2 linked regions of the Caenorhabditis elegans genome follow. The protein of the gene in region 1 interacts with the protein of each later gene in a pairwise test. Each region holds a gene or a part of one and is shown on either strand. Other genes may lie near its edges.

The links.
Region 2: the proteins of tbc-2 (region 1) and rab-35 interact in a two-hybrid assay, tested with the Caenorhabditis elegans proteins (one study listed by BioGRID).

Annotation. Positions count from the first base shown.
Region 1 is NC_003280.10:5,823,245-5,829,160, forward strand, and holds tbc-2 (PH domain-containing protein), read right to left. Parts: upstream 4,200-5,916; 5' UTR 4,183-4,199; coding exon 4,105-4,182; intron 3,922-4,104; coding exon 3,743-3,921; intron 3,699-3,742; coding exon 3,284-3,698; intron 3,240-3,283; coding exon 3,099-3,239; intron 3,052-3,098; coding exon 2,915-3,051; intron 2,866-2,914; coding exon 2,482-2,865; intron 2,435-2,481; coding exon 2,190-2,434; intron 2,139-2,189; coding exon 1,672-2,138; intron 1,624-1,671; coding exon 1,107-1,623; intron 1,056-1,106; coding exon 913-1,055; intron 863-912; coding exon 842-862; 3' UTR 612-841; downstream 1-611. Other genes in the region: ehs-1 (Eps15 (endocytosis protein) Homologous Sequence), read left to right, coding at 33-234, 282-354; ZK1248.11 (E3 SUMO-protein ligase NSE2), read right to left, coding at 4,488-4,643, 4,846-5,049, 5,097-5,342; gtap-1 (Dynein heavy chain 7, axonemal), read right to left, coding at 5,547-5,712.
Region 2 is NC_003281.10:11,306,073-11,313,258, forward strand, and holds rab-35 (Ras-related protein Rab-35), read right to left. Parts: upstream 5,495-7,186; 5' UTR 5,475-5,494; coding exon 5,366-5,474; intron 4,592-5,365; coding exon 4,468-4,591; intron 3,955-4,467; coding exon 3,830-3,954; intron 2,623-3,829; coding exon 2,498-2,622; intron 952-2,497; coding exon 805-951; 3' UTR 575-804; downstream 1-574. Other genes in the region: teg-1 (GYF domain-containing protein), read right to left, coding at 6,625-6,759.

The DNA.
Region 1 (5,916 bases):
ATATGAATATATAACATAAATTCAATTTCCAGATCCTGCTGCTGATCCATTCGCCCAAGTAGATCAGTTCGGCTCATCTGGACATTTTGATGCCGCTTTCCCAACTGATCCATTTGCTCAAGGAGGCTTCCCATCGGATTCTGGCTTCGCACAATCGGCTCCCGCAAAACCTGCTCCACCTCGCCCAGCTCCTCCAAAATCTGCTCGCGAAACACCTGTCAATGATCCTTTTGCGTAAGTCTTAGTGAGTATCAATTTATTTAAAGTCTAAATAATTTCAGCCCATCACAAGGACAATCAACTCAACCGGCTGGATTCGCTGATTTTGCGGACTTTGGATCGGCTTTCAATTGATTTTTAATAATTATACCTTACCCACTATAAGCCCCAACGCCAGTCAAATTGTTTTACTTTGCCCAAATGTTTACCTGTGCCAAGTCATCGACATAATTTATTGATGCACATTTTTAAGATTAGTTTTTTTGCACTTTCCCACTTGAATTGTCACTTTTCTAGGTTATGAAATCAGAGCAATAATGTTATATACTGTAGAATATGAATATGCATGATTATTATGTAAATTATGAGTTATAATATATAGTAAATGATTTGCAGATTAATTTTATGTTGCGTATTTGATATTTTCAGTCTCATGTGTAAAAACGGAGCACAAGTAAACGGGTTGAAGGGGGGGAAGTAAACCGTAAAAGAAATTGATAAGGAAAAAGGAGAATCACAGAAGTTTGAAAATAATAGTGAAAAAGTTGTGTGAAGAAGACATAATTATGCTAGAAATCGAAAGAAAATACAGATTAGATGTACAAGAATGTTCGTGTCGGATTTACATACAGTGGCCAGTATCCTGAAAATAATAATCGCTATATTAGAATTTATTTATATATTACTGTTTACCTTCAATTGTGTCAAATAGAGTTGTCGTTTAGTTTCTATAGTCTTCTGAGGGAACGGATTCAGTTCGTTGAATGCCACTTGAGCTAGCGACTTGAAGTCAATGATATGTTCTTGAGCTTTGCTGAGACATTGATGAACTGTGCCTGAAAATTCTTGTTAAAAAACTAATAAATTTAAAGTTGTAAGTCACAAACCAATAGTTTTACATTGAAGAACGTGAGGTTCGCATATTTTGAAAAGTGCCAGTGCGAATCGAAAAAGAACCTTATTTCCTTCATAGAGGAATGCATCGAATATAGTCAGATAAATAGAATGCGGGAGTACATCTACAAAACACGTCAGGAACCAACTGAGCGCGAAAAGTGAAAGATCAACTTCAAGAGCTCTCAAATGTGCAGCCAATTTTGGAAGCTTTTCTGCTACAAGATCGCGGAGAACTTTCTGATCGGCAACCGCTCCGATCAGTGAGCTAGTGTAATATCCTTCAGGTTGGAGATGTTCCACACATGCTACAAGGAACCAGAACGAATCCTGCTCATCCAGGTTTAACAGAGCAATTGCAGCAAGACGATTGAGTCCTTGGCAGTAGCCGACGTGAGAGTTATGGTATCGGAAGGCGTAGAGTACGTTTCGTAGTTTTTCTATGTTAGCAGAATCTGGCTCGTCGAAAAGTTTATTCGTGGGCAGAGTTCGAGCGAGGTCAAGATCAATCTGAAAAAATAATATGAGAAACTCGAATTTAGAATAATATAAATATACCTGTTTGATGGCTGCATCGTAACTTCCATCCTGCTTCTTTGTTCCAGCCTTTCTGAGCATACTTTGATAGTATCCATTACCCAATTCTGCTTGCTTATCCTTCACCCAATGTGTCACAATTATCTTCCATACACGACCTCTGTAGGCAGGTGGTACTCCAGTTCGAATAAGAGTTTTTAGATCAGGTGAAGACATGATTGCAGTCTGCCGGGATACTGTATTGTTGACAAGGAACGCATCCCACGATTGTAACCATTTCATGTATTCTTCAGATTGTTCCAATTTCGTTGCTTCCACTACGTCTCCCGCTTTTTTCATGTAAAACGTGGCAGTATCCAAAAGATCATCGCTTTCAGAAAAATCATCCTTTTTATAGAATCCCAACTGATCCGTGAGGTTTTGCTGAGATTCTCGAGGTGTTCTTGCCGACTCTTCGAGTAATTCTTTCAACACACCAGGTTCCATTACTGTAGAGCAAAAGTGATTATATTATAACAGAAAATTGTTTAAAAACTCACTTTTTCCTGGTTTTGTCGGAGACTTAAAATGGTTTAGAACCATCAAATAACGGCTTTTTAATTGGTAATAGCAGGCTTCGAGGTCGAAATTTTGACGAATCAGCTTCTTCTCTCGATCTTCCAGAGATTGAGTGATAGCATGCAATTGGACTATTTCCGCATTCAAAAACTGATTCTGGGTACGGTATCCTTCTACGAGATCTTGAAGTTCTCCAATATCACGAACATTTTCTTCGTCTAGAACCCTAAAATAAAATACTTTAAAATTTAAATTGTAAAAATAAATTCGTACTTCCTGGTAGCTTCTTCACAATCAACTGATGATACATCGACAAGAATGCCTTCAGGAACCTCAACATCCGATACAAGTCCATTTGCGTCTGCAGGAATATTCGAGCTTCTTTCAGATATCGATCCTAGTAAGTCTTCTCGATTTTCTTCTTCACACATTCGAAGAATAAGCTCTTCTTTTGTTCGTAATGATTCTCGGAAAGCTTCTACTGATTGTTGCAAATCATTGATCGTATCCTCAAGCCTTACATTTTGATCTTCAAGATCACGAACTCGTCGAGCATTCATGCTATTCGAAATATGTAATTCGGTGACTTGTCGCTCCTTTTCCAGTATATACTCTCGCATTTCCTCCTTATTATCTCCCATATCCTCGATTTTCTGACTAAAATTTCAACAATTTATTATGATTTTAATTAAATAATAAAACTCACAGTGCTTCATTATTTCTTTGAGCTAGTAGAAGAGCAGCTCTCAGCGAATCGACAACTTCCTCCAGACTTGAAACTTTATCAGACAATTCAATAACTTTCTCTTCAGGAGTTAGATCAACAGAAGATACTGTACCTTTCTGAAAATTTTACTCATAGTGAATGTTTGATCACTATTTGAACATACTCTACTTCCAACAACTGGTTCATCGGACGTATTTTGCCGACTTCTGCTCCAAGTCGAAAGATTTCTTCGAATAGCTCGAAAAGGAGCTTCTATACTTTGATCAGCTAGTCGCTTTAATACAGTTTCTGGGCTTTCGATTGTCTGAAAGTATAATTTGAAAGTTTTCAAGTTGTATGTTCACTTACCTTTGGCATCTGTAGAGATCGTTCATTCAGCTGTCCATTTGGATTCAAATACCATTCCGTTGCAGATCCTTCAGCTGGTATTTTCGTGTTGTCTGTGTCTTCAACCACTTCGGCAGTTTCCTCAGATGAGTGAGGAACATCAGAAGATGTTTCAGCGTCTGTTTCTTCTTCAGTTAGGAATTGTGTTCGTTTCTTTGGTTTTGGACTTCTTGGTGGTGGTACTGGAGAAGGAGACGAGCATTCTTCGAGGACCGAAGACGAATTTCTTCCCGTTAAAGACGAAATATCTAGACTTGAATCAGATTTTGATTTCGTTGCCTTCCAGCTTCTTTTCCGTGTACTTTGAAGAGCTTTCATCCATTCATTGCGTTGCTTGTCTGAACTACATTCCAGCGCAATTACTTCATTGTTAGAGCTGAAATAAGTCGATTTTTAACGAATTAATTATATTAAACTCACTGAATTTCAAAACGGCCTTTTTCTCTTGGATCATAAGTGAATGCTGCGCCACTCAATGAGACTCTTCCGATACATTTTATGTCATCTGAATCTTTATACCAGTAAAGATATGGAGTTGAGTCACAGAGTGCGAACCAATAGCGACGGCGTGTTATCAGACCGATCGAACGAACTTCGATCTGGAAACAGTGGATATCATTTTTGTTGATTCCTAAGATTGGCATTTAATGTTTTTAAAAGTTCTTCGGGATCAAATTTAAAATAGTAATGTCATTTTAAAATTTTCTGGACATTTTAAAATAAATCTTTAAATTTTCTGGAAATTTTTCCGAAAATAATATATTTAGGCCAAACTACCGTACCCGATGCAAGTATCCACAGATTGCCGAAGTTTTTAGTTCGCGAGCTGGTGGGCTGATTGTCCCCGGCGCCGCAGACATCCGCGTTATCTGAAGTTCTGAAAGTAGGAATAGATATGAGAGATTTAGAAAGAATAACAAAAGTAGTATTTGTATCGTATGTTCAACGACTCATCGCACTGGACAAACTGGTTTTTTATTCGACCACCAGGCGAGGGAAGGTGGCGAACGGAGAGGGAGAGAACGTATCGAATTTTTATGAAACAAAATGAGAAAAAAAGAAGTGAAATGCAGGAAGAGGTATTGAGAAGTGAAGTGAAAATGAAATAGAGTAAGAGATCAATATGAAATGATTAAGAGATGACTAAAATTAGTCATCAAATAATTTATTGTTGCTGTTTAATATTCGTCCAGTAATCGGGATAATCGGCGAGTTGGCCGATGTTGATAGTTTCAGAGCATCCTTGCATTGCACACTTGATAACTCGCTTTTTGCCAGCAAACTCATGAATTGAATCCCTATCGTAGACGTGTCCACAGTTCTGGAATATTGATTTATTGATATAAAATAAAACTTTTGTTGCAATTTGGTGGTGATGAAATGTTTCGAAAGATAAATAAACGAACAAGGATGGTCAATCAAAAAATAATGAGTCATAAATTGCAGATGATATATTTGCACAACCCGAATGACAAGACGGGGATGAAATGTTGAAAAATAGAGAAAAAATGTTAAAAACTTACCTTACTGATAACTGGATTGACAATATCTTTCTTCGAAATTGGATCCTTTCTACTATGTTGAACTTGCATCACTTCCATTTCATTTTCATCGTTTTTACTTTCATCCCTTATAGATTTGATAATGTCTTTGAAGTACTGTCGCTCGCCTTTCACATTTTTATGGGTTTTTTTCGCCTTCTCGTATAACTCCTCCAATGCTTTTTCCTGCAAAATTATTATTAATATAATTTGTTTAAATATCTGCAACGTACATTCGGAACCTCGTCTGAACCATCTTTCAGGTCATTATGCAACGCTTCAAAAATGTGTTGCATTTGAGCACCTTCAGTCTCCAATTCCATCAACTTCATTGCATCTTTCATCAATGTTTCTTTGAATTCTTCAGAATCTACTTCATTTGAAATAGCATTTTTTGAATTGATATGAAGAACATCCTCAGCAGCCTTTCTCAGACTTTTTCGAATAATTTCCATACTAGTGGCGAGCTGGGTAGACATCTGGAAGGGATTTCACAACTTATTGAACTTCTAAATAACAAAAAAAGATAATTCAAAAATCGTTATATACGAATAACATTAGCCTACAAATGAACATTTAAAATTTAAAATTTTTTATTGAATTAACCCATATTTTCAGAAAGTGATTATGCATGAAAATTTTGAACATAAGGCGATAAAAACCAGGCAGTGAATAAGAAGTGATTAGGTACCCATATTCAATTTTCCTATTCGGACAGAAAGATGGAAAAATATGGAATCTTTGTCGTTTCCCCAAGCTTCGTGTAGAGAAAGCAGCTTTTGTAAAGTAATTCGAACACTTGTTTCACATCGATCCAAATAGTCAAGATCCAACGTGTTGGAGACTGATCTGAAAATAGTAATTTTTCATTTTAAAAAGCTCAATCAAAAAAGCTGCAGTCATGGCTGTAAATGTTTTTTTTTTTGGAAAAAAATACGAAAAATTATGCTTCACAAAACAATTTTGAGTAGAAAAAAATTAAAGTCGAAATTTTAAAAGAAAGTACAATTTTGGTCAACTTGTTTTAGATTTTCAAAATGAAGTTTCAAACTT
Region 2 (7,186 bases), on another chromosome or scaffold:
CGATTCGATCTCCCTTTTTTTTTAAATTTAATCTCTTTTAACGTTTAAACCCACCAAAGTTTCCAATTTTCTCTACTTTTTAGTTTTTTTCAAGATTTTAATTGAAAATCCATTCCTCTGGATAAATTTGTAAAATGGGAATTTTTCTAGAAAATTTAGGCAAAGAAATTGGAAAAAATTGAGTTTTTTTTAAACAAAAAGTGGTGATTTTTCGAAAAAATTCTGAAATTGGCCAAAATTAGTGAGAGAAAATTTTAATTTTTTTAAGTGAAAATTTCGGAATTTCTATCAAATTTTGTACGAAAAAAAATTAATTTTCAAACAAAAATATTTAGGAAAAATTAGAATTTTAAAATATTTAAGGTTTTTTTTAGAACTTTAAAAAATATATAATCTTCCAAATTTTTTTAAAGGAAAAATTATGAAGTTATGGGAATTTTCAACAAAAATTAGTATTTAAAAAAAAATTAGTTTTATTTTTTTTTTTCAACTAAATTTTTCTCTAAATTAAATATCACAAAATTAGCTTTCTTTTTTTGGATTTTAAAACAATTTCCTGAAAAGAATTCGTCAAAAAGTTAAATATTTTAGTAATTTAGGAAGGAGGGGAAAACAGATAGAAAGCCAAAAAAAAAAGCAGTCGATCGATTTGGAAATTGGGAATAAAACTGTTGTATATGCACATGCGGGAAGGCAGGGGAGAGGGGAGGGGAAATTCGAGAATTTTGCGATTTTTGATGATAGTACAAAGTGAAACAATATAGAGAATGATGGTGAGAGAAATTAAAAAAAAAAACGAAAAATTTATCCACATTTGCACTTCTTTTTCTGATTGGTGCTTCCTGAATTGTCCTTGAGAGATACACCGCCCGTGCGGCTCTGATCCTTTGAAGCCGACTGGGGATTTGCGAGTTTGGCGGTCAGAACGAGGCTCGTGATGCATGTGAACATCTGAAAAAATGGGGAAAAAATTAATTTTTCTGAAAATTTTACTGAAACTCTATGAAAAAAAAACATTTTTTGAATTATTCCAATCCTTACGCTTTTCGAATTTTTTTTATTGCTTTATTAGACTCGGAATTGTCTGAAAACACCGAATTTCATAATGAAACTTTTTGAAAAATTCTCAAAAAAAAGTTATGACGACGGCTCAAAAAGTGGCCTAAATTTAGTTGAAATTTGAAATTTGACTTGTCAAGCGGCTGGAAACTAACTTTTTTGAAATCACCGTCAAATTTTGAGTATACAATGTAATTATCTTGCGTTTTAAACTTGATTTAGGTATTTTAAAGTCGATGGACGGCGAGATTTTTAATTTTTTTAACCAAATCTCGCCGTCCATCGACTTTAAAAAACCTAAATCAAGTTGAAAACGCAAGATAATTACATTGTATACTCACAATTTGACGGTAATTTCAAAAAAGTTAGTTTCCAGCCGCTTGACAAGTCAAATTTCAAATTTCAACTAAATTTAGGCCACTTTTTGAGCCGTCGTCATAACTTTTTTTTGAGAATTTTTCAAGAAGTTTCATTATGAAATTCGGTGTTTTCAGACAATTTTGAGTCTATTAAAACAATTTAAAAAATTTCACCACCTTTAAAGGCGAGGTACCGAAATTTGAGACTTTGCTTTTTAAGACCCAAAATGGCCCAAAACTACCGAATTTTGTAATGAGACGTTCTGAAAATTTTTCAAAAAAACAGCTATGGCCGCTCAAAGTTTTGGAAAAAAATGGCCTATTTTTAGCTTAAATCTCAAATTTTGGCAACTTTTCGGTGTCGCATCGGTTGGAACTTAATTTTTATTTGATTACCATTTTTTAATGCATGTTTTGGCATTTTATTAGGTGTTGTTTCGTTGATTGTGATGTTTTTTTGGCCAAGGGGGACTCAAAATTGTATCATATTTTTGGCCAAAAAAACATCTCAATCGACGAAACAACACCTAATAAAATGCCAAAACATGCATTAAAAAATGGTAATCAAATAAAAATTACGTCTCAACCGATGCGACACCGATAAGTTGCCAAAATTTAAGATTTTAGCTAAAAATAGGCCATTTTTTCCAAAACTTTGAGCCGCCATACCTTTTTTTTGAAAACTTTTCAGAACGTCTCATTACGAAATTCGGTAGTTTTGGGCCATTTTGGATCTGAAAAAGTAAAGTCTCAAATTTCGGTACCCCACCTTTAAGTTAATTGTTGAGCAGCTTCAGCAAACTTATTTCCTATTACCAAGTTTTCATTACAGAATGATGTCTGAACAATTGAAGAATAAAGTTTCACTATCAGCGGGAATTCAAAAAAAAAATTCTGCCATTTTTATTGGTTTTTCCAAAATTAAAAAAAAAATCATATTTAAACATTTTTTCGGAAAAATATATTTTGTTATATTTTTTTAAACCGAAAAATTCTAAAATTTAATTTTTTTTGTAATTTGCCACTTTCAACTATAAATGTATTTTTATTCCCAAATTCAATATTTTCTTCGTTCTTACCGGTTCGACATTCTTGTCCTCTTTGGCAGAAGTCTCAAAAAACGAGATATTCATCGATTGAGCATAATTACGTGCATCACTCTCCAAAACCACTCGACGCTCGTTTTCTTCGCATTTATTGCCGACTGAAAACGGAATTATTTGTTTATTTTTGAAAAAAAAAATCAATACGGAAAAAAATTAAAGGTTTTTTTGAAAAATATCTCTAAATAATGTTAATTTTAATTAAAAAATTGAAAAAAAAATTAGATTTAAAAAAAATCATCATTTTCGGAACTTTTTAGTGTTAATTTTTTGTAATTTTCTTCAAAAAAAAACCTTGAAAAATGTGGAAAATTGTCAAAATTTCTCCAAATTTCTCAAAAAAAAAAACGCGAAAAACTATGAAAATTGATCACTGCAACTTTTTCCTCACGAGAGACGAGGAAAAGTGGTTTCTAGGCCATGGCCGAGGGGCCGACAAGTTTCAGCGGCCATTTATCTTGCTTTGTTTTCCGCCTGTTTTCTTTTGTTTTTCACAGCTTTTTCCCGTTTTTTCTTATTAAAACTGATAAATAAATATTTTTTGCAGATGCTAAAACAATTTCCAAGTAAAAAAATTATGTATTCAGTGGGCAAGCAGCGGTGAAAGTGGGCATTGTAATATGATGGATTACGGGAATACAAAACCTAAACTTTTTCTGAAACATGATACATATGCTGCTTAAATGCTGAAACTACCTGATTTTCATAACGAGACTGCTGAAAAAGTTTTGAGGTTTTCAAAATTCAACTTTTTGTACGAAAATCTCTACTTTTTCACCAAAAAAGTTGAATTTTGGAAACCTCAAAACTTTTTCAGCGGTCTCGTTATGAAAATCAGGTAATTTCAGCATCTAAGCATCATATTTATCATGTTTCAGAAAAATTTTAGGTTTTGTATTCCCGTAATCCATCATATTGCAGTGACCACTTTCACCGCTGCTTGCCCACTGAATACATAATTTTTTTACTTGGAAATTGTTTTAGCATCTGCAAAAAGTATTTATTCATCAGATAGAAAAAACGAAAAGAAGAAAAAAAGAAGAAAAAGAAAAAACGGGAAAAAGCTGTGAAAAACGAAAGAAAACAGGCGGAAAACAAAGCAAGATAAATGGCCGCTGAAACTTGTCGGCCCCTCGGCCATGGCCTAGAAACCACTTTTCCTCGTCCCTCGTGAGGAAAAAGTTATAGTGATATTGAGTTAAATTACCCTTTTATTTCCATTTTTTTTCAACTTTTCAAAAAAAAGGAGGAAAATCGTAATTTTAAAATTTTTTTTAGCTCAGCTGAAAAGCTGCTTCTGCTCCTTACCAAGAACCTTCTGAACCGAATCACAATTATTCTCAATCTCCTGCAACCACCGTTTCACATTTCCGAAAGATTCTCCATTTGTGACGTCATAGACGACAACGACTCCGTGTGTTCCGCGGTAGTAACTGCAAAAATCGTTAATTTTTTAATATTAACTAAAATTGAAAAAAACTAAAACTAAAAATTTTCGATTTTTAAATAAATTGTATCAATTTTCCACAAAAGTTTTTCGTTTTTTCGAAAAAATAAAAAATTTTCGATTTTCCATTAAAAGTATCTCAAAATTTTGGTAAATTTTCTACTTTTTCAACGAAATTTAACAAAAATTCGATAAAATTTGAGATTTTTATAATTTTCCAATTTATTCATTAAAATATATACAAAACTCGATAAAAATTGAATTTTAAGTTGAAGATATTTCGATTTTCCGGAAAATCGGAAATTTTCCTCCAAATTTGTCTCTGAAATTCATAGAAATTTTAAATTTTGAAAATTCCCACAAAGTTTTTTGATTTTCAAAAAAAAAAAAAAAAAAAACCACAAATTTTGGGCTTTTTTCTGCAAACAAAAATGTGATAAAATATTGCAATTTTTTCAAATTTTTTTTTTGAAAAAAAAAAAAAAGTTTTCCGCCATACGTCGATGTAATTGTACGGAATCTCTCTTGCCCGGCAGTATCCCAAATCTGAAGTTTGACACGTTGTCCATTAATATCCATTGTACGAATTTTAAAGTCGACGCCGATTGTGGTAATGTAGTTTTCTGCAAAAAAAAATTTTTTTTATTGGTAAAATTGCTATTTTCAGTATTATAGGAACACAAAATTCTGAGAATGGGTATTGCACAACATATTTGACGCGCAAAATAAAACTATATCTCGTAGCGAAAACTACAGTAATCCTTTAAATGACTACTGTAGCGCTTGTGTCGATTTACGGGCTCGATTTATTTTCGTTTTTGCTTCTTATTAATTTTGATAAATAAATAATTTACTTCATTTCAAAAAATCGAGATCCCGTAAATCGACACAAGCGGTACAGTAGTCATTTAAAGGATTACTGTAGTTTTCGCTACGAGATATAGTTATATTTTGCGCGTCAAATATGTTGCACAATACGCATTCTCAGAATTTTTGTAGCCGCGCAATACAGGTTTTTGACTACTTTCAGCAAAAAATTGCGTTTTTCAAAGTTTTCTGTTTAATTTCGCGATTTTCATGGGAAAATTGAGTTCAAAACTGATTTTCTAAGCAAAAAATATTATTTTTTCAAATATAAAAATCGGATAAATCAGAATTTCGATGGAAAAATTCATTTTTTTAAATAAAAATCGGACAAAACAAATTTTTGACCCAAAAGTTTTAGAAAAAATTTATTTTTAAAACAAAAATTATTTGTAATAATTGGTTTTTTGCCGTTTTTCTGTCCAATTTCCCGATTTTCTTGGGAAATTTGGGTCAAAACTGAGTTTTCTTTAAATAAAATTTTTTTAATGGAAAATCTGAATTTTTCTCCCTTAGAAAATTTGATGCCTAACCAGAGAAGGTGTTATCTGCAAAACGGAGCAACAAGCTGCTCTTTCCGACACCCGAATCTCCAATAATCAGCAATTTGAACAAATGATCGTAATCCCGAGTTCCCGCCATTGATGTTGGGTTGCAGAAGCCTGGAAATTGGGGGTTTTTTTTTTCAAAATTCTCTAGGAAATTCGTGAATTTTTCGGATTTTCCGGTTTTTTCTAGACAAAAATTACATTTTCTAGTTTATAACTAGAGTTTCTAGTTAAAATGAAATAAAAATTACACTTGAAAATTTTTTAAAAAATATTTTCAATTCCGGCAAAAAACTGGATTTTCCGGCAATTTACCGATTTGCCGGAAATATTCAAATCCGGCAAATTGCAGATTTGCCGGAAATATTAAAATCCGGCAATTTATCGATTTGCCGGAAATATTCAAATCCGGCAAGTTGCAGATTTGCCGAAAATATTCAAACCGGCAAACTGTAGATTTGCCGGAAATACTAAAATCCGGCAATTTATCGATTTGCCGGAAATATTAAAATCCGGCAATTTATCGATTTGCCGGAAATATTCAAACCGGCAAATTACCAGAGGTTTCATTTTCGGAAAATGACCGGTTAAAAAAAAATTTGTCTTCTAATTTTTTACACCAAAATTTAGAAATTTAGCGAAGTTTAAAATTTAGAATTTTAAAAAAAATTTGTTTTTTAATGTAAAATCTAGAAATTTCCCAGAAAATTCAGCAGAAACTTAGCGGCTTTTGGAACCGTAAAATCTTAAAAAAAAAAGCTTTTTTAAAAAAGGAAAAAATTGGGGATTTTATATAATACAGTGCAGTTTTAGGGGCGAAAATAGGCCAAAAAAATGAATTTTCAAGTTAAAAACTTGAAAAAAAATGCAATTTTAGGACCAAAAAGGGCAAAAAAAAAACGGGAAAAAAAAAATTTAATTTACAAAAAAAAATTGAAAAAACCTCGAGAAATGTCATCGGAACTGTGATAAATATCATGTTGAATAGCGAGTTTTCGGTATTTGAAAAGTTTTCGGCACCGAATCATTTTTCCGACTTTTTTTCAGCTGTTTTCAGGCGGAAAAAGTGAGAGAAATGAATGTGTGTTCTAAGTGATGAGAGAGAGATAGAGAGTGAAAACGAGATTCAGAGAAACAAAAAAAAATGGGGGAAAAAATGAAAATGAAACAAAAAAAAATGAAATATGAATCATATAATTGCTAAAATTCAGGGGAGGAGGAGGAGAGGTTTTTTAGGAGAGTTTTTACAAATAAAGCTCGAAATCAATTCTGGCAACTGGATTAAAATGTCCATTTGTTCCAGAACGTCTGGCAACACCTTCTGCCGAAAGAAGTCCTTTTGATTGGCGATCCATCATTTCTGAAGTCGGAATCGGGCCCTGGAATTGGAAAAAATTTTTACTTTTTTTGAGACTTTTTTTCATTAAAAAAAATTTCAGAATTTTCAAAAAAAAATTTTTGAAATTTTTTTGACATATTTTAATTTATTTTTCGAACACATTTTCGGCAAACCGGCGATTTGCCGGATTTTTCAGCGTGAATTTTAATAAGAAAAAACTATTTCGATTAAAACGGGTCTAAACCTAACAAAAATTGAATTTTTTCGATTTCTGGATAAAAATTGGCTATTTTTGACATTTTTCACCAAATTTTCATGGAAATGTTCAAAGTTTTTGCTAAAAATAGGCTATTCTGATTATATCCCAAAAAATTGGTTTAAAAAAATCAATTCTTCATTTAAAAAAAAAAAAACTATTTTGTTAACACGAATTTCGCCAAAATCGTCCGTTTTTTCGCTGAAAAATT